3 linked regions of the Anolis sagrei genome follow. The protein of the gene in region 3 purifies or fractionates together with the protein of the main gene of each other region. This does not show direct contact. Links are inferred from orthologs where the notes say so. Each region holds a gene or a part of one and is shown on either strand. Other genes may lie near its edges.

Region 1 (6,911 bases), on a different chromosome or scaffold from region 3:
CATTCCACAGATATATAAACCTCACTTGCTTAGTTTCCAACAGACCTCATAACCTCTGAGAATGCCTGCCATAAATGCAGGCGAAACACCAGGAGAGAATGCTTCTGGAACATGGCCATACAGCCTGGAAAACTCTCAGCAACCCAGTGTTTATTGACTGTTTACTAGTTATTATGTGTTTTTTTTAATGTTGTATATTGCCCAGGATCCCATGCAGGGCGAAAAGTGATACATCAATCAATCAATCAATCCAATAATAAAATGATGTTTACACAAACCAAATCACAGTTAGTTTTTGCATCCTAGCAAGCAATGACAACTAGGACTGTCTAATTCTGGTTCAAAATTACCTGTTTCCCAAGGAAAGGTGTTTAGCCACTGACATCACAGGTTCAGACACATTTTTGACAATTAGTTTTGTGAGTGATCCAAAACCAGCAATATTAGCTTCACAAAAGATTAAACTTCTTGTAAAACGCTGAACAGGGATGGTACCATATATTTTGCAGACTGTTTAATTATAGTTTTAAAACATAGTAAGCTGGCTCAAATAGTTGTTCAGAGCTCCATAAACGTATGAAGCTGTGAATTACCGTAAAGGCTGAACCTTTATCTTTGTCCTTTCTCTTGCGTGCCAACTCCACCTTATATATAACCAGATCATGAAATATGCTGCTTGAGGGATTCTGGGCGTTCAAAATTAACTTTCCCAAGCTCTACCCATTAAATGTGAACTGCTAGTTGTGGGATGTTGGGAGTTGCAGTTCAAGAAGTAATTTTTCCAGCTCTCCTCATTAAACTTGAACTGGGGAACCTGAACCACTGGTTGGGTGGGTATGTTCTGGAATCTGTAGTTTAAAAAGGAACTTTCTCAAGAGCCACCCATTAAACTGGAGAACATGAACTGCTGGTTGAGGGATTCTTTATTTGTAGTTCAAAAAGAAACTTTCTTAACCTCTGCCCATTCAAATTGAGATGGGAAACTTGAATTGCTGGTTGAGGGATTCTAGGAGGCATAGTACAAAAAATAGCTTTCTCGTGTTTTGTCCATTCTACTTAAATCGGGGTACCTGAACTGCTAGTTGGTGGGTTCTGGAAATTGTAGTTTCTCAAGCACTGCCCGTTCAACTTGAACAAGGAAAGCTAAACTGCTGGTTGGGGGATTCTAGGAGTTGTAGTTTCTCAAGCACTGCCCATTCAACTTGAACTGAGGAAGCGAAACTGATGGTTTGGGGAATTCTGGGAGTTGTAGTTTCTCAAGCACTGCCCATTCAACTTGAACTGGAGAGGCTAAAATGCTGGTTGGGGGATTCTGGGAATTGTAGTTCAAAAAGTAACTTTCTCAAGCGCTGCCCGATAAAACTGGGGAAGTTTGGTTTAAATTCAGCCAAAATGGAATAAAAACAACAAATAAAGAACGGAAAGTAGATTATGGCCCACATGCCACAGATTTCTGGTGGATACTATCTGTGTATTGTTGGGTGGGATTCTTGCAAGGCACACTAATCTAGACAGACCCAGATCTTATCCAGCAAGACACTTCTGAAGTTCTTACATGCTTAAAGCTCAAACACACACACAATCCCACTTAACACAGTTTTGTCATGCCTTCTCTGTGAAAAGATGGTGGTCATTTATGCCTCTTTGTTTCAAACAGATCGGCAGGCCACGAAAAGTCTAGTTAATATATTTACCGTGTATACAGCCCACCCATCACTGCAGTTGGACCACCCCAGTTGCACAATGTGGATTTCTTTTTCTTTATGCTGGGAGACTGGAAAATCTCTGTTGGTGTACAGACCGAAGAGTAAACAAGAGGGTCAAACAGCTGTAAAACTGTCATAACAAAAGGACAACACAGCTGCTTTGAAAAGTACACAAGAGATCAATTTTCTGCCCATCAGCATTAAATTACATCCTCTCTCAATTTTTAAATGCTCTGCATCAGAATAGTCATTTTGTTCATATCTGAACTCTCTAGTAATAGCTGCGTAATCTTTTTTTCTGGCTGGTTTAATGACTTCCTCCACCCCCCAATTCAAGTTCAATGGGGAAAGTTTAAGAAAGATACATTTTGAATTACAATTCATAGAAACTCCCAACCAGCAGTTCAGGTTTTCCAGTTCAGTTTCAATGTGCAGAGCTTGAGAAAGTTTCTTCTTGAACTACAACTCCCAGAATCCCCCAACTAGCAGTTCAGGTTCGCTAGTTCAGGTTTAATTGGCAGAGCAAGAAAATCCATCTATATGCACAAAGACACAGCTCTTGAATGGCATTGTCTGCTTTTCCTTATTATATTAAGAAGATCCCAAATATAATAATAATAATATCCCAGGTGACAGCAGGATTGAGAAGTAACTGGAAAAGCTTACACCAGTGTTTCTCAACCTTCCTAATGCCGCAACTCCTTAGTACAGGTCCTCATGTTGTGGTGACCTCCAACCATAATGTTATTTTCGTTGCTACTTCATAACTGTAATTTTGCTACTGTTATGAATTGTAATGTAAATATCTGATATGCAGGATGTATTTTCAGTCACTGGATTAAATTTGGCACAAATACCCAATACGCCCAAAATTTGAATACTGGTGGGGTTGGGGGTGATTCATTTTGTCATTTGGTAACGCTGGAGTTGCTGGGATTTATAGTTCACCTTAAATCAAAGAGCCTTCTGAACTCCATCAATGATGGAATTGAATCAAACATGGCACACAGAATTCCCATGACCAAGAGAAAATATTGGGAAGGACTGGTGGACATTGACCTTGAGTTTTTGGAGTTGTAGTTCACCTATATCCAGACTGTGGACTCAAGCGATGACGGATCTGGATCAAACTTGGCACAAATACTCAATATGCCCAAATGTGAACACTGGCAGAGTTTGGAGAAAATAGACCTTGCCAATTGGGAGTTGTAGTTGTTGGGATTTATAGTTCACCCACAATGAAATAGCATTCTGAACCCCACCAATGACAGAATTGGACCAAACTTTCCACACACAACCCCCATGACCAACAGAAAATACTATGTTCTTGTGGGTTTTTTCGGGCTATATGGCCATGTTCTAGAGGCATTTTCTCCTGACGTTTCGCCTGCATCTATGGCAAGCATCCTCAGAGGTAGTGAGGATGCTTGCCATAGATGCAGGCGAAACGTCAGGAGAAAATGCCTCTAGAACATGGCCATATAGCCCGAAACACCCACAAGAACCTAGTGATTCCAGCCATGAAAGCCTTCGACAATACAGAAAATACTATGTTTTCTGGTGGTCTTTGGCGACCCCTTTGACACCCCCTCACGACCCCCACAGGGGTCCCGACCCCCAGGTTGAGAAACACTGGTTTAGACGATATGAGAATTTAAAGATTGAACTGCAAAGACTCTGGCACAAACCAGTCAAAGTGGTCCCAGTGGTGAATGGTACACTGGGTGCAGTGCCTAAAGACCTTGGCCTGCACTTAAAAACAATCAGCACAGACAAAATTACTATTAGCTGCAAAAGGCCACCCTACGCGGATCTGTGCGCATTATTCACTGATACATCCTAGACACTTGGGAAGTATTCTCACGTGTGATCAAATACAAAAGCCAGCATAGTGATCTTGTTTGCTGTCTACTAATCTTGCTATGTATCAAATCAATAATAATAATAATAATAATAATAATAATAATAATAATAGAGTGGAGCATGGTTTACAAGCCCCAAAGTCTTATCAGCCACATTAATTGTGGGTGATAAGACTTTAATGCGATTGGACCATTGGATCATCCTTGGTCCTGAGTTCAAATCCTTCCACAGACAAGACCCTTTTCTAGATTCCTTAAACAAGCTATATCCCACGCTCTAGTTTCTCTCTCGCGAGACAACAGGGGTAGTCTCACGAGAGCTCGCGGTTTCAAGTGAAGCCGCTCGAATCTTTCCTGGATGCCGCCATCTTGCCTCGGTAAAGCCACCAGAGGAGGTTTGTGGCGGTTTTCCGGGCTTTTATAAGGAAACGGTGGTCCCCACGAGGCGGGGAAGGAGGCTTGGGCTGGCTGTGCTTTCCCCGCTCCTTTTCTGAGGGACTCGGGCTCTCGGCCTTGCTTCCTTGGCTTTGTCTCCCTCTCAGAAAAGGCTTGGGCCTAGGAGTAGGAGGCGGCGGCGGCGGCAAGATGGCGGTGGAGTCTCGCGTTACTCAGGAGGAGATCAAGAAAGAGCCTGAAAAGCCCATCGACCGCGAGAAGGTAAAGAGAAAAGAGCCAGAAAGGGGAGGAGGGACAGACTACCTCTGAGGATGCTTGCCAAAATGCCTCTAGAACATGGCCATATAGCCCGAAAAAAACTACAACAACCCAGTGATTCCGGCCATGAAAGCCTTCGACAATACAATGAGAGAAAGACTGAAGGAGATAGTAAGGAATACAGAGAAAGAGGCCCCTTCCACACAGCTGAATAAAATCGCACATTAACTGCTTTGAACTGGGTTATATGGCAGGGAAGACTCAGGGCCCTATATCCCAAGGGCCCCATATCCCAGAATATCAAGGCAAAACAAACCCACATTATCTTGGATATCTTTGAACTTGGATAACCCAGTTCAAAGCAGATATTGTGGGTTATTCTGCCTCAGTATTTTGTGTGGAAGGGCCCAGAGAGAAACGAATGGGAGAGAAACAGAAAGGAAAAGAAAGAACACCTCCACAGGTTACCTGTTCCTGCAGAATTGATCACTATAAACACTGTATTGTTGAAGGCTTTCATGGCTGGAATCACTGGGTTGTAGGTTTTTTCGAGCTATATGGCCATGCTCTATTATTTATTTATTTATTTCAATCACTTATACCCCGCCCTTCTCACCCCGGAGGGGACTCAGGGCGGCTTACAGGGGAGGGCACAATTAGATGCCCGAACACATAACAAGTAATACAAAAAATAACAATTCAACACTTAAATTAAAACATCAGTACATAGTAAAAACCTAAAACAGTCTCATGTCAGGGTCCATATATCAGAGTCCATAAGTCCGTCCTATTCCGTTTGTCTTGTCTATTCCCAGGTCCTTGATTTAATTGTCAGAGTGACCAAAAGCTTGGTCCCACATCCAGGTCTTTAGTTTTTTCCTAAATGTTAGGAGGGAGGTCGCCGATCTGATCTCCCCAGGGAGTGAGTTCCACAGGCGGGGGGCCGCCACTGAGAAGGCCCTGCTCCTCGTCCCCGTCAGCCTCGCTTGAGAGACTGGCGGGGTCGAGAGCAGGGCCTCCCCAGAAGATCTTAAACTTCGAGGTGGGATGTAGAGGGAGATCCGTTCGGACAAATGCTCTAGAGACATTCTCTCCTGACGTTTCGCCTGCATCCTCAGAGACCTCACAACCTCACAACAGATCCAGGGAAGTCATGCTACCCATGCTCTATTCTGCATTGGTCAGACCACACCTGGAATCACACTGTGTCCAATTCTTGGCACCAAAGTTGAAGGGAGATATTGACAAGCTGGAATGTGTCCAGAGGAGGGCGACTAAAATGATCAAGGGTCTGGAGAACAAGCCCTATGAGGAGCGGCTTAAAGAGCTGGGCAAGTTTGGCCTTCAGAAGAGAAGGCTGAGAGGAAACATGATAGCCATGTATAAATATGTGAGAAAAATATCACCTCAACAAAAGTTTGCTCCAGGCACTGTCAGGCCATTTTATGCTAATCAAGGTGGTCAGTTGAAACATTCACAACTAGCTCCAACAGACAAGAGTTCTTTGTCCCACCCTGGTCATTCCACAGATATATAAACCCTTTTTCCTAGTTCCAACAGACCTCATTACCTCTGAGGATGCTTGCCATAGATGCAGACGAAACGTCAGGAGAGACTGCTTCTAGAGCATGGCCATATAGCTTGAAAAAAACCTACAACAACCTAACTATAAATACTTCTGAAAAATGTATTCCAGTTTTATTAGAATTTAGTATCTTCCATGATAAATGACCTTTGAAAAGAGAATATAATAAAAGGATCCTAAGGGCCCTTCCACACAGCCCTATATCCCAGAATATCAAGGCAGAAAATCACAGAATATCTGCTTTGGACTGGGTTATATAGCAGTGAGGACTCGGGGCCCTTTTACACAACCCTATATCCCAGAATATCAAGGAGAAAAACCCACATTGTCAGAGAGTGGACTCAGATAGCCCAGTTCAAAGCAGATATTCTGGGATATAGGATTGTATGGAAGGGCCCTTAGGTAACCCGGTTCAAAGCAGATATTTTGGGTTATTCTGCCTCAATAGTCTGAGTTATATGGTTGTGTGGAAAGGGCCAGAGAGAAACGAATGGCAGAGAAACTGGAAGAGAAAAAACACCTCCACAGGTTACCTATTCCTGCAGAATTTACTGCTATAACACTTCTGAAAAATGTATTCCAGTTTTATAGGAATTTAGCATCTTCCACACAGCCCTCTATTCCAGAATATCAAGGCAGAACATCCCAAAATGTCTGCTTTGAACTGGGTTGTATGGCAGTGAGGACTCGGGGCCCTTTCACACAACCCTATATCTCAGAATATCAAGCAGAAAAACCCACATTGTCTGAGAGTGGACTCAGATAACCCAGTTCAAAGCAGATATTGTGGAATATTTTGCCTTGATAGTCTGGGATATAGGGTTGTGTGGAAGGGCCCTTAGGTAACCCAGTTCAAAGCAGATATTGTGGGTTATTCTGCCTCAATATTTTGTTTGGAAGGGTCCAGAGAGAAATGAATGGGAGAGAAACAGAAAGGAAGAGAAAGAACACCTCCACAAGTTATCTATTCCTGCAGAATTTACCGCTATAAACACTTATGAAAAATTTTATAGGAATTTAGCATCTTCCATGATAAATGACCTCTTTTAAAAAGAGAATATAATAAAAAGATTCCAAGGGCCCTTCCACACAGCCCTATATCCC
Region 2 (6,865 bases), on a different chromosome or scaffold from region 3:
GTCAACCCTCCCCGAATTTTTTTCTGGCTACGGCCCTGGGCAGGATATAAATACCATAAATAAATAAATAAATAAATAAATAAATAAATAAAATGTTATTTTCTAAGGTGGAGAGTGTGCGTTGCCCAAGGTCACTAGAGGTGTGTCTACACTGTAGAATTAATGCGGTTTTGACACCACTTTAGGAAATACATAGGGTCCTTGGTATATTGGTGCTGAAAAGAGAGAGAGAAGTCAAACCTCTGATGCTATGGCATCCTGGGAACTGTAGTTTGATGAACTGGCACTCTTTGGCAGAGAAGGCGAAAAGCCTTATTTGGTGCACATTAGTAGAACAAGGGTGCATCTACACTGTAGAACTACTGCAGTTTGACGCAACTTTTACTGCCATGTGCTTAATCATGTGAATATGGAATCATGGGATCTATAGCTTTACAGAATCTTTAGCCAAACAATCCTTGAGCCAAACTACAGCGCCCAGGATTCCATACCACTGAGCCATGGCAGCTAAAGTGGTGCCAAACTGCATTCATTCTACAGTGAAGATGCAGCCGCAGTGCATTTTCGTGGCCCAACAGGTATTCAGACCTGGTCTCCAGAATGTAGTCCAGCACTCAACTAAAGTTTATTTGTCTGTGGCACAACATTAATTGCAAATGTTTGTAATAATACAGCAGACTATTAATACACAATCCACTGCTGATGACTTGAGGGATTTGGGAGGTTCAACATTCAAGCTGCTACACCCCACTGGCTCTTTATGGAGGCTTACTCAGAGAGGGAAGTCCCTCAGCCTTCAATGAGTCAGTTCTTTCTTACGTAAAACCGCAATCTGAAACCACTAGTACTACACATACTTAACAGACACACACGTGTCTCTTGAGACAAAAGCTTCAGGCTGTGAGCTGCTAGTGGAAGGTAATTTGGGGCCACTTTGAGTAAGAGAGCAAAAGTTTTTCTCTCAGGCACACAGGCAGTAAAGCAGAGTCTGTCCACTATGGGTGCATTTATACTGTAGAATTAATAGTTTGACACATGAACTGCCGTGGATCAATGCTATGGAATCCTGGGAGTTATCGTTTAGAACTCCCATAATTCCATAGCACTGAGCCAGAGCAGTTCACGTGGTGCCAAATTGCATCTCTCAGGGCACATCAATACTGTAGAATTAATGCAGTTTGATACCACTTTCACTGCTGTGCTTCAATGCTACAGAATCCTAACAGTTGTAACTTTACCAGGTCTTTAGCTTTCTTTGCTAAAGAAAGCTAGTGCCTGATCAAAACTACAAATCCCAGGATTGTGGAGAATGGAAGCAAGATGGTAACAAACTGCATTAATTCTACAATGTAGGCCCTATAGTGGCAATTTAATTCAGTTTGAAGCTAGTGGTCAGATAACAAATGATAGCCCTTAATGTGTCTCAGTATTGTGTGGTTTGTGTAATTACCATCAGGGCCTCAAACTGGTTTCCTAGGGATATACAGGTAGTCCCCAAGTTACAAACATCTTACGTACGAACAACTCATTGTTAAGAACATGGGAGAGACAACAGGAAGTGAAAGAAATCTGACCCTTGGATGGGAAATTCACCCCAAATGGGAGCCTTCCCGGGGCTCATCGAACTGGCATGGATTATTAATCATGTCAGAAGCAAACCGAAGGTACAGTTATAATGCATTTAAAAACACAAAGTTTTAAAAACTTGGCATTATACTAAATGTCCTTTAACCAGTAGCCGGCCACTTGGAGTGCCTCTGGTGTTTCTATAAGGTCCTCCATTGTGAATGTGAGAGGGCTCAGACTGCATTGTAATAGGTGGTCTGAGGTTTGCTCTTCTCCACACTCACGTTGCAGACCCCACTTTGTGGCCCCATTTAAGGTTGGTGCTGCATCTTGTGGTGCCAGAGCGCAGCCTGTTTAGCGCCTTCTAAGTCACCCAGGGCCCTTCCACACAGCCCTATATACCAGAATAACAAGGAAGAAAATCCCACAATATCCACTTTGAACTGGGTTGAGTCCACACTCAGATAATGTGGGACTTTCTGCCTTGATCTTCTGGGATATAGGGCTATGTGAAAGGGCCCCCAGTCTTCTGTGTGCCCAGGGGGGAGTTTCTCATTTAGTATCAGCCATAGCTTGAGTTTCTGGGTTTTAGCCTGCCGCTTTTGGACTCTCGCTTGCTGAGGTGTTCCTGCAAGTATCTCTGTCGATTTTAGAAAACTATTTCTTCATTTAAGGCACTGGTGTGCTGGCTGATATCTGAACAGGGGGTGGGCCAGAGATGTCACTTCAACTGGCATTGAAGAATGAGACTCCCCCCTGGGCACACAGAAGACTGGGGGCCCTTCCACACAGGCCTATATACCAGAATATCAAGTCAGAGAATCCCACAATATCTGCTTTGAACTAGGTTGAGTCCACACTCAAGATAATGTGGGACTTTCCGCCTTGATATTCTGGGATATAGGGCTATGTGGAAGGGCCCCCAATCTTCTGTGTGCCCGGGGGGGGGGGGGGGGGGCTCTCATTTGGTATCAGCCATAGCTTGAGTTTCTGGGTCTTAGCCTGCTACTTTTGGACTCTTGTTTGCTGAGGTGTTCCTGCAAGTATCTGTTTCGATCTTAAAAAAACTATTTCTTCTTAAGGCGTTGGCGTGCTGGCTGATATCCGAACAGGGGGTGGGCCGGAGATGTCACTTCAATGTATCCAAAGGAGGGCAACTAAAATGATCAAGGATCTGGAGAACAAGCCTTATGAGGAGCGGCTTAAAGAGCTGGGCATGTTTAGCCTGAAGATAAAAAAGGCTGCGAGGAAACATGATAGCCATGTATAAATATGTGAGAGGAAGCCACAGGGAGGAGGGAGCAAGCTTGTTTTCTGCTTCCCTGGAGACTAGGGCATGGAACAATGGCTTCAAACTACAAGAAAGGAGATTCCATCTGAACATTAGGAAGAACTTCCTAACTGTGAGAGCCGTTCAGCAGTGGAACTCTCTGCCCCGGAGTGTGGTGGAGGCTCCTTCTTTGGAAGCTTTTCAACAGAGGCTGGATGGTCATCTGTCGGGGGTGCTTTGAATGCAATTTTCCTGCTTCTTGGCAGGGGGTTGGACTGGATGGCCCATGAGGTCTCTTACAAGACGATGAGAAATACCAGGGCCCAATTATTATTATTATTATTATTATTAACTTTATTTGTACCCCGCTAACATCTCCCGAAGGACTTGGTGCGGCTTACAAATAAAACAACAGCATAACAAATACAACAATAAAACTCATAAAGCAAACCAATAAACATTAAAGCAGTAACAGTAAAACATCAAAACAATACATCATGACACATTTAAAACTAGGACCAGGCCAAGTGTAATGAATAAATTAAAAAGTGCTGGACATGACAGGTGAAATGTAAGGATTTTAAGGTAGGCGCGATGTGCAGGCAATCTCAAATCTCTGGTCAAGTGCGTTTGGGACATGATGCTGGGAGTTTCCTATTCTGGAAAGGCACACTGGAGCAGCCAGGTCTTCAAGCTCTTCCTAAAGACTGCCAACGTGATGGCGATGACACAGAACCACGGAGAGGCCTTTCTTTCGCGTGGGTTTTGTTGTGGGAGTTGGATGGCTGGGCCTCAGAGCGGCCTGGCGGATGAGGCCTCAGAGGCGCATTCCCTCACTTGGCGCCCTCTTCCCTTCCTCTTCTCGTCATAGCGGCCTGCTTTCCTTCCTTCCTGCTTCCCTTCCCCTTCGCCCTCTGCTCCTTTCCCGGCCTGCCTCGCTGGCTCCTCCCCCTTCCTTCCTCCCTCCCTTCCCGCTCAGTCCAGGGCTGACATCACGCCCGGGGTTTCCATCGGAGGGGGAAAGAGGGAGGGAAGGAGAGAAGGAGGGAGGAGGAGGAGAAAGAGGAGGGGACACTCGGCGTGATGATGGCGGCGGCCGGGAGCGCTTAAAGCAACGGCGCCTGCCCGCGCACCTCAGGCCCCTCTTCCGCTCCCTTTTGTTTTTTAACCCCTTCGAGTCTTCCTTCCTCTCTCCCTCCCTTTGCGGAGGGACTCGGGCTTCCTTTCCCTCCCTTTTGGGCCTAGGCCGAAGCCAAGCGCCGCCGAAAGAGAGACAGCGAGAGAGAGACTGAGAAAGGGCGAAGAGCAATCCAGGCCGGACCCGGAGCGCTTCCTTCTTTCCTTCCTTCCTTCGCCGCAGGCCTCTCTCTCTCTCTCGGGTTTATTATTATTATTCCGCGACTTCCCTCAAGAGGAGAATGAAGAGGTAAAAAATGAAAAACCGGCGGGGAAGCCGAGGGTCAAAGGCTTGAGGCGAGGCTGGCGGGCGCTTCAAGTGTAGGCCGCAGCCCAAAGGACAGTGATTTGCTGAGGGAGGGAAGCAGAGGGGAGCCAACTCGAAGCCGAGGCGCGGGCAGAGAAGGGGGAAAAGCAAGGCCTCTGCTGGAGGGAAGGCCCAACTTCCCAGAATTCAGGGAGAAGCGGGGCTTTTGTTCCAGCCTGGCCTACGTGTCCCGTTCCCCTTCCTCCCAGGGTGCATCCACACTGTAGATTTGATGCACTTTTCATTGCTCAAGGAGACAGAACCCTGGATGTTGTCTCTTCGCTGGGCCTTGTGTTGCTACAACTCCCAGGATTGGCAGTTTGCAAAAAGTGGTGCCAAACTATTCCTTTCGTATAGAGGAGACCTGGGCCAATTTGGGCCCTCCGGGCCCAAATTGGCTCAGGCCTGGTGTAGACTCAAAACCATGCTGTTCCTCTTTTCTCTTTTGTTTACTGTTAAGAGAGAAAAGAGAGAGAAGGCCAAAGGCGGCCTAGCAATGGCAGCAGTGATGACAATAATGAGGAGGAGGAGGGGGATGAAAAAGGCGCCTTGCGTGGAGCAGCTAGGCACCCACGACGTTGGGGGAGGGAGGGAGGAAGCCCATTTGTTTTGGCACCCACTAAATCCACGAGGCCCGCTCCTCATTGGCTGCCAGGCGGGCGAGCGGGGGCCCCGTGTGCTCGCGCCGAAAGGCCCCGCCTTTGGATTGCTTGGCTTCCCGGGCGGGGGGGGGGGGGGATATACAACAAAACAGTCGGAAAAATAGTAATCCAACTCTTCCATAAACTGATTTATCTCATGTTATCAATCACCTCTCCTACTGTGATATTCGGAAGTCCTGTGCAAACAGCTAGGGATGATTGGGAAGTAGTTGGGAAACTTGCAGCTCTTGCTAACTACTGCACTGCTTTTTAAGCAAGCACGGGCAAACTTTGGCCCTCCGGGTGTTTTTGGACTTCAGCTGTCACAACTCCTAACGACCTACTGGCTGGGTTGCTATGAGTTTTCCGGGCTGTATGGCAGCCATGGTCAAAGCCATGGTATTCCCTGTAGTAACCTATGGATGTGAGAGCTGGACCTTAGGGAAGGCTGAGCAAAGGAAGATAGATGCTTTTGAACTGTGGTGTTGGAGGAAAGTTCTGAGAGTGCCTTGGACTGCAAGAAGATCCAACCAGTCCATCCTCCAGGAAATAAAGTCCGACTGCTCATTGGAGGGAAGGATACTAGAGACAAAGTTGAAGTACTTTGGCCACATCATGAGGAGACAGCAAAGCCTAGAGAAGACAATTATGCTGGGGAAAGTGGAAGGCAAAAGGAAGAGGGGCCGACCAAGGGCAAGATGGATGGATGGCATCCTTGAAGTGACTGGATTGACCTTGAAGGAGCTGGGGGTGGTGACGGCTGACAGGGAGCTCTGGCGTGGGCTGGTCATGAGGCCACGAAGAGTCGGAGACGACTGAACGAATGAACAACAATATGGCAGTATATTCCAGAAGCATTCTCTCCTGATGTTTTGCGCACATCTATGGCAGGCATCCTCAGAGGTTGTGAGGTCTGTTGGAAACTAGGCAAGTGAGATTTATGTATCTGTGGATATATAAATTCTCCAGGGTAAGAGAAATAACTCTTATCTGCTTGAGGCAAGTGTCAATGTTACAAATGGCCACCTTGATTAGCACTTAATAACCTTGCAACTTCAAAGTCTGGCTGGTAGCCTGTGGGAATATTTTGTTGGGAGATCCATGATTGATTCTTGTCTGGAATTCCCCAGTTTTTTGAGTGTTGTTCTTTATTGCCAAATTTTTAGAGTTTTTTTAAAAATACTAGTAGCCAGATTTTGTTTATTTTCATGGTTTCCTCCTTTCTGTTGAAATTGTCCACGTGCTTGTGGATTTCAGTGGCTTCCCTCTCTAGTCTGACATAATGATTGTTAGAGTGGTCCAGCATTTCTGTGTTCTCAAATAATACGCTTTTTCCAGATTGGTTCACCAGGTGCTCAGCTATGGCTGGCTTCTCTGGTTGAGTTAGTCTACAGTGCCTTTCATATTCCTTGATTCATGCCTGGGCAATGCTGCATTTGGTGGTCCCTATGTAGACTCGTCCACAGCTGCATGGTATACGCTAGACTCCTGCAGAGGTGAGAGGATCCCTCTTGTCCTTTTTCGAACGTAGCATTTGTTGGATTCCTATGGGCTGTTAGGAATTGTAAGAGTTGAAGTTCAAAACACCCAGAGGGCCAAAGTTTGCCCATGCCTACTTTCAAGGGATATAACTATAGTAGACATACTTTAGCAGTTATTATCTTATATGAAACCCCTTTGAAGGGCCAGTTCCATCCTATACATGTTTGTTTACACTGGATTTGAATTGTATGGTATGACCCATTATCTACAGAACCGTGTACTCAGTTTCACTTTTCCATGACTTTGTTTATCAAAACTAATTTCTTGTTAAGGAGCTGGAATACTTAGAACTCACCTTAACGGATCTGGCTCTTAGCACATTGCTTTTAAAAGAACAATAATATAGAAGACATACTTGTATGG
Region 3 (7,208 bases):
CACAGCACTTGTGATGCCCAAGGACAGCAGTCAGTGCTCTGAAGTGTTTTTGTCTCAGCAAGTCAAAGAACAAATCTGGGAGTAGATTTAAAGTTGCTTGTGAGGGAGTAGTTTTAAAGTTGTTTGTTTGTTTAGCTATCAAGACAAAGAAAGAAACCTTAAATCAGAAGGCATGGTTTATTTACTTGCATCCCTTGCTACATCGTTAATCAGAAAATGAAAATCAGCAGACTGCCTCATCAATGTTAAGTTAGAATTATTGTAGGAGCCTGGCTTAGTGAAATACTTGGATGCAAGCACCTCTAGGGATCTAATTCATGTTCTCCCATGAAAGCCTATCCAATCCTCAAAATATATTATGGGTATCTTTCCCAAAACAACAACGTGCTAGAGGGTACAACACCTATCACTTGCTGGGCTTTTATTAGAGCAAGTTTTAAAATAGTGCTATTTAGTGTGGTGCCAGGACTGGTTAATGAGTTATTAGCTGCCAGTCCATGGAGTGTTTACAGAAAACAATCAGTTATAGCCAGTGACCACAAATATATACTTGTCCCTGATACACAGAAAAAAATAAAATGTTGGTTCCCTTTATCAGATGGCTTAGGGAGTATTTAAAGACTTCATTACACTGAACAGGTCACGTGTTTGGGGGAGTAGGCTTACCATTCAGTTTAGGCATACTCTGTTTTGAAATTGAAGGTATGGTTTTCCTATCTTCATCACACACTTTTCAATCTATCTGTTTTACTCAGGAATCCTCCATTGATTTGCCATCACACAGTTGAGATTTGTCCCCATCCACTGTCCCTCCCCAGTTTGCTTTATGGAAAAAAACTGAAGAAAATTGCTGACAGTAAAAGATAACTGCTATTATGGAAAGTTATGGTGTTCTGGACTTCACCTCCCATAATTCCACAATTCCAATTCCAAAACACCTGGAGGATCCAAGTTTGCCCATGCCTGATATAGATGCATCCTCCATCACATCTATATAAATAAAAATGTTTGTGGGATTAACATAACTCAAAAACCACTGGACAAATTGTCACCAAATTTGGCCACAAGACACCTACTAACCCAAGGATTGACTATCACTCAAAAAATTAATTTTGTCATTTGGGAGTTGTAGTTGCTGGGATTTATAGTTCACCTACAATCAAAGAGCATTCTGAACTCCACCAATGATGGAACTGAACCAATCTTGGTGCACAGAGATCCAATGACAAACAGAGCATACTGGAAAGATTTGGTGAGTACTGACCTTGAGTTTGGGAGTTGTAGTTCACCTACATCCAGAGAGCACCATGGACTCAAACAATGATGGATCTGGACCAAACTTGATACGAATACTCAATATGCCCAAATATGAACACAGATGGAGTTTGGGGGAAATAGATCTTGACATTTAGGAGTTGTAGTTACTGGGATTTATAGTTCACCTACAATCAAAGAATATTCTGAACCCCACCAATGACACAATTGGGGCAAACTTCCCACACAGACTCCCATGAGCAACATAAAATACTTAAAGCCATCCAGTCCAACTCCCTTCACCAGGGCAAGGAAACTTAATCAAAGCCCTCCTGACAAAGAGCCATCCAGCCATAGATATAGATATAGATACATGATTCACACACACAGATATAGTATCAAAGAAGGACAATATGTTGTATGTTCCAGAGTACACAAACCAGACAATCTCCACACCAATATTGACAAGAAAAGAGGAAGAAATACTGTTTACGCACAAGCATAAAGAAATTACATATATTAGAAACCAACACTTTCTCATTACTTTATTTTCCAGATTGCCAGACTGGGCCACAGCAACTCGTGGCAGCGGACAGCTAGCATCTATATAAATAAAAATGTAATGTTCGTTTGTGGGATTAACACAACCCAAAAACCACTGGACGAATTGACACCAAATTTGGACACAAGACACCTATCAGGTCAATGAGTGATCATCACTCATAAAAACACTGAAAAACAGTGGAAGGGACTTAAAAAGCCAAAAACCAAAAAATATATTACAACACATGCACAAAACCACATATATACGCAAACACACACATATACAAATATATATATACACACACACATACACACAACACATATGTGTATAACACACACATATACACATAACATAAATATACAAAACACATATACACAGACTGGGTCACAGCAATGCGTGGCAGGGGACGGGTAGTCTTTGTTGTTGTTCATTCGTTCAGTCGTTTCTGACTCTTCGTGACCTCATGTACCAACCCATGCCAGAGCTCCCTGTCAGCTGTCACCTACCTCAGCTCCTTCAGAGTCAAGCCAGTCACTTCAAAGATGCCATCCCCTCTTCCTTTTTCCTTCCATTTCCCCCAGCATAATTGTCTTCTCTAAGCTTTCCTGTCTTCTCATGATGTGGCCAAAGTACTTCAACTTTGTCTCTACTATCCTTCCCTCCAGAGAGTAGTCAGGCTTTATTTCCTGGAGAATGGACTGGTTGGATCTTCTCGTGGTCCAAGGCACTCTCAGCACTTTCCTCCAACACCACAGCTCAAAAGCATCTATCTTCCTTCACTCAGCCTTCCCTATGATCCAGCTCTCACATCCGTAGGTGACTATGGGAATACCATTGCTTTAACAATGCGGATCTTCGTTGCCAGTGTGATGTCTCTTCACTATTTTATGAAGATTGGTCATTGCTCTCCTGCCAAGAAGCGTCTCCTGATTTCCTGGCCGCAGTCTGCGTCTGCAGTAATCTTTGCACCTAGAAATACAAAGTCTGTCACGGCCTCCATGTTTTCTCCCTCTATTTTCCAGTTGTCAATCATTCTTGTTGCCATAATCTTGGTTTTTTAAATGTTTATCTGCAACCCAGCTTTTGCACTTTCTTCTTTCACCTTGATTACAAGGCTCCTCAGCTCCTCCTCTCTTTCGGCCATCAAAGTGGTGTCATCTGCATATCTAAGGTTGTTAATATTTCTTCCAGCAATTTTAACCCCAGCCTTGCATTTGTCAAGCTCCGCACATCGCATGATGTGTTCTGCATACAACTTGAATAGGTTGGGCAAGAGTATGCAGCCTTGCCATACGCCTTTCCCAATCTTGAACCCGTCTGTTGTTCCATGGTCAATTTTTACTGTTGCTACTTGGTCCTTAAACAGATTTCTCAGGAGAGAGACAAGGTGATTTGGTAGGCCCATACCACCAAGAACTTGCCACAATTTATTAAGATCCACAAATACAGGGTGAGGCAGCATAACTTCCTTTTTTAAAATGTGCGCCATTCAGTCGGTTGAAGACGTAGTGGAGCGCTAGTGGTCTCGTTTGAGAGGCGGGTGTATAAAGTTTTGTCCTGACATAGTTCAGTCGCCATCATGCGTTGGAACAGTGAGGAGTGTGCTTTTGCCGTTGAGGCCTATTTTTTTAGCGGATTTGGAGTGGCCGGCCCGCTCTCCAGATTTGGCCCCTTGTGATTTTTTTCTATGGGGTTTTTTGAAATCCTGTGTTTCTGTGAACCGTCCACGGACCCTACAAGATTTGAAGACCAACATCCAGGAAGAAATTGCCAACATAACGCCTGCTATGCTGGCAAGGGTCAGGACAAACGCCAGAAATTGGTTTATTCAGTGTATGGAGAATGGGGGACGTCGCCTACCTAATTTGATCTTCAAAACTACATAAAACAAAACTTTAGGTATGCGCCTACATTATAAAAAAAAACATTAAAATTTCTGATTCATACAATGGGTTTTATTAAGTTTTGAAAAAAGGAAGTTATGCTGCCTCACCCTGTATATGCACACACAATGCACATATACACAGACTGGGCCACAGCAACGCGTGGCAGGGGGTGGCTAGTTACAAAATAAAAACATCAAAGCAAAAAAAATATGCACCATGCACGTGATGGCGAGTAATTTTTTGGAGAGTAATTTTTTTAAACAAATTCCCATAAAACCAGGGAAAAGGCCTTTTATGGGCGTCTCTTTGAAAAGCAGCCTGTGGTTTTCACCCTCGAGACCCAGAGGGCGGAGCGCCATCCCGCCCTGGCCTCCCTCCCGAGTGATTCGCAGCTCAGTGGCCGGTTTCGAATGTGCACCGGAAGTTTAGAGGCGCAGAAAGCAGCGAGGCAGTGCAACTCTATAACCTTTACGCGCCAAGGCCGGGATGACGTCATTCCGAAAGGCGGAAGTGTGGTTTGGCTTCCGGAGGGCATGGGAAGGGGAGGCGGGCACAACTCGTGTTGCGCAGGCGGGAAAGTGTCTGTGGTGAAGACGGACTTGGTAATAACATGGGGCTCCTTGTTGGTGGGGGAAAGGGGAAGAAGGGTGCTCAGGGAATCGAACTGACGGGCCAAGGATCCTCTGCCTGCCTGCCTGCCTCCCTTCCTTGTAGGGCAAGCTGAGCTTCACCCTTCCCTGGGGTTGGGGCCTTTGGCCCTCAGTGGGGTTTCCTTCCCACTGGGCCAAAATATCATGGAGATTTATATTGACAGAATATTGCAATTGCTTTCTTTTGGCCAAGACAGTAGCCTTCAGCGTTCGTGTGTGCGAGGCAGAATGGGGTGGGAGTGAGCAGATGTGTGCTTGCTGCCATAACATCATCGCCATTATTATTTATCTATTTACACCCTTCTCCCCCCCCCCCCCAAAGGAGACTCAAAAGAGCTGACACTAATACAGTGTGTAAATTAAAACCTAGATATCACACATGTACTGCTTAGTTGTAACTTGTACGATAAAGAGAGAAACCAATATCTTGGGCCATGCACTGTACAAAAGACACACTGGGATCCGTATATTACAACTACATTTTTAATGGCCAGCCAGAATGCTAAAATAACATATAAAACTGACCTTTTTTATTTAAAGCAACACAGCTAAGAACTGCATGTTTAGAGTTGATTGGGGAAAACTGCAGAGGTGATGCAGATACTTGATCTGTATTGGGACTTTGCTAACAGCTTGTTTATTTTAACTTGTGTTGTACTGTGGGTTGCATGCTCTATGTGTTTGTTAAATGTTTTGATATGGGTAATGGGGTAATCAATGAAACGTACTACAACATAGCTAAAATCATTAAAAATCTATATTAAGCACAGCACCCCTGACTTACTGTAAAACTTTCTTTTTTCTTTTCTATTTCTCCCTATGGGATGGGGGAATAACCACATACAAAACACATAATCACTTAACTTGGTGGTTGGGTGGCTGGAAAGTTTGTGGGATCTCTTCAGTGACACCACACTTGGAGTGTAGATGCATTAATGTGGTTTGACACCACTTTAACTGTCATGGCTCAGTTCTATGGGATCCTGGGAGTTGTAGTTTGGTGAGGCACCAGCATACTCTTTGACGGATGGCTCAAGGCCTTGTAAAACTCCAGCTCCCATGATTTCGTAGCACTGAGCTGTGGCTATTAATGTGATGTCAAACTGCATTAATTAGACAGCTAATATAAAACTATATTTATATCCCGCCACCATCTCCCAAAAAGAGACAATCACTATCAACACATAAAATAACACAATTTAAAATCCCCCCCCCCCCCCCCCCGGGAAACAGAAGTTTCTCTGTATATTCCAAGGTTGGGGTGGGTTGCTTTTTCATGGGGATTTTCATGTTTTGAGGTTTGTTATTTGGGTAATTGTTTTGTTTCTTTCCCAGGTCTCTAGATCTCTGGACTTCTGACAACTTGCGTTATCAGTAAATATGTCGAATTCAAGAAAGGATTAATATATCTTGCCTGATTCTCTCCAGAAAGCTTTCCTTCCAGAACTACACATCTTGGTGTGACTCTAAACCCATTTGTAGTGGGGGCGGGGTAGGGAGAGAACAACCACCATGGCAGATACATTGGAATTCAATGAAATATACCAGGAGGTGAAGGGATCTATGGTGAGTGTTATGGGTTTAATATTTAAAATCATTAAACACAAAGGGTTTGTTTGAAGTTATATGTTTAAAAGGAAGCTAGTCCCAATATTTTGCTGCAAAATTCTTGTGTGTGTGTTTATCTGAGTGCTCCATCTCTCATAGGAAGAAAAAAAATGTTGCCATGCACCTTGATGATTCAGTAAAGAATACTTGGATTAGAAAGAACTTTCTAATGACAGCTATAGAGACTGAAGTTATGAAAGATGTTTAGTGGGAGAGGGTAAAAGTTGATTAAAGTAGCAGAGAATAGAAAGATCAGAAGACAAAAAAGCAATCATTGGATATGACAGTATGGAAGTAATTACTGGTTTTTGCAAGCACTGGTTCAGAGGCACTTGGAGGAATGATATTCTTTGCCCAGCTGCTGTGGCCACTGTTTCTATGTCTCTAGCCTTCTCTGTCTCTTTCTGTGTTAGAATGATGGCCGCCTACGGCTAAATCGCCAGGGTGTGATTTTTAAGAACAGCAAAACTGGAAAAGTTGACAACATCCAGGCCTCAGAATTGGCAGAGGGCATCTGGCGCAGAGTAGCACTGGGCCATGGTCTCAAACTACTTACGAAGGGTGGCCATGTCTACAAGTATGATGGATTCAGGGAGACGGTAAGCTTCCGTTTAATATAAGTTTATTTCTAATTATTGTACAGTAGAGACCTCTACAGGTTTCCATGACTTAATTAGGGGGTGGAATTTCCAGTATTAAGGACAAGACAGGTTGAATTTGCACCTGCATAGGTGTGGATAACATTGTATTTTGTATATGTGGTCTGTGATGTTGTCTAGCATATTCTTATGTATAAAAATGTCTTTGTTAATATAATTTGTTACTATATATTTTTTATTGTACCATGGGTAGATACAAAGACTGGTGGCAGTTTACTGGGCTAGTTTTTATCCTGAGGGATTAGGAAGGAACCAAAAGACTCATGTTGCTCGAATGGCACATTGGTAACCTTGATTTTTTTTGCCCTCCATTACAATGAAATCTACTTACTACAATATTAACTGGATGCTTCCTAATTAAGCGATTTCCTCCCTTTTAGGAATTTGATAAACTTGCAGATTTTTTCAAGACCCACTTTCATTTGGAGCTTGCTGAAAAAGATTTGTGTGTGAAGGGATGGAACTGGGGCACAGTAAAATTTGGAGGTAAGTTCTGATGGGGCCAATGCTGTCCCATGGGAAACAACATATAGAAAAAAGTCTAGGAGTCACAGCTTTTGGGAAGGAATGAAAGAGTTTTCTGGTTGTCTTGGAGAGAGGATGACAG

Evidence for each region. Proteins that work in one complex are often made in the same cells at the same time.
Region 1: the proteins of SSRP1 (region 3) and SAP18 fractionate together in Homo sapiens (co-fractionation; 3 studies listed by BioGRID and IntAct, with this or other methods). This does not show direct contact. The link is inferred for Anolis sagrei from reciprocal best matches to the Homo sapiens genes SSRP1 and SAP18.
Region 2: the proteins of SSRP1 (region 3) and CHD1 purify together in Homo sapiens (affinity purification with mass spectrometry; 3 studies listed by BioGRID and IntAct, with this or other methods). This does not show direct contact. The link is inferred for Anolis sagrei from reciprocal best matches to the Homo sapiens genes SSRP1 and CHD1.

Annotation. Positions count from the first base shown.
Region 1 is NC_090023.1:28,526,350-28,533,260, forward strand, and holds the start of SAP18 (histone deacetylase complex subunit SAP18), read left to right. Parts: upstream 1-3,900; 5' UTR 3,901-4,153; coding exon 4,154-4,225; intron 4,226-6,911. UniProt on the Homo sapiens protein: Component of the SIN3-repressing complex. Enhances the ability of SIN3-HDAC1-mediated transcriptional repression. When tethered to the promoter, it can direct the formation of a repressive complex to core histone proteins.
Region 2 is NC_090022.1:251,871,363-251,878,227, forward strand, and holds the start of CHD1 (chromodomain-helicase-DNA-binding protein 1), read left to right. Parts: upstream 1-3,854; 5' UTR 3,855-4,262; intron 4,263-6,865. UniProt on the Homo sapiens protein: ATP-dependent chromatin-remodeling factor which functions as substrate recognition component of the transcription regulatory histone acetylation (HAT) complex SAGA. Regulates polymerase II transcription.
Region 3 is NC_090021.1:233,759,922-233,767,129, reverse strand, and holds the start of SSRP1 (FACT complex subunit SSRP1), read left to right. Parts: upstream 1-4,186; 5' UTR 4,187-4,286; intron 4,287-5,669; 5' UTR 5,670-5,846; coding exon 5,847-5,900; intron 5,901-6,355; coding exon 6,356-6,541; intron 6,542-6,981; coding exon 6,982-7,087; intron 7,088-7,208. UniProt on the Homo sapiens protein: Component of the FACT complex, a general chromatin factor that acts to reorganize nucleosomes. The FACT complex is involved in multiple processes that require DNA as a template such as mRNA elongation, DNA replication and DNA repair.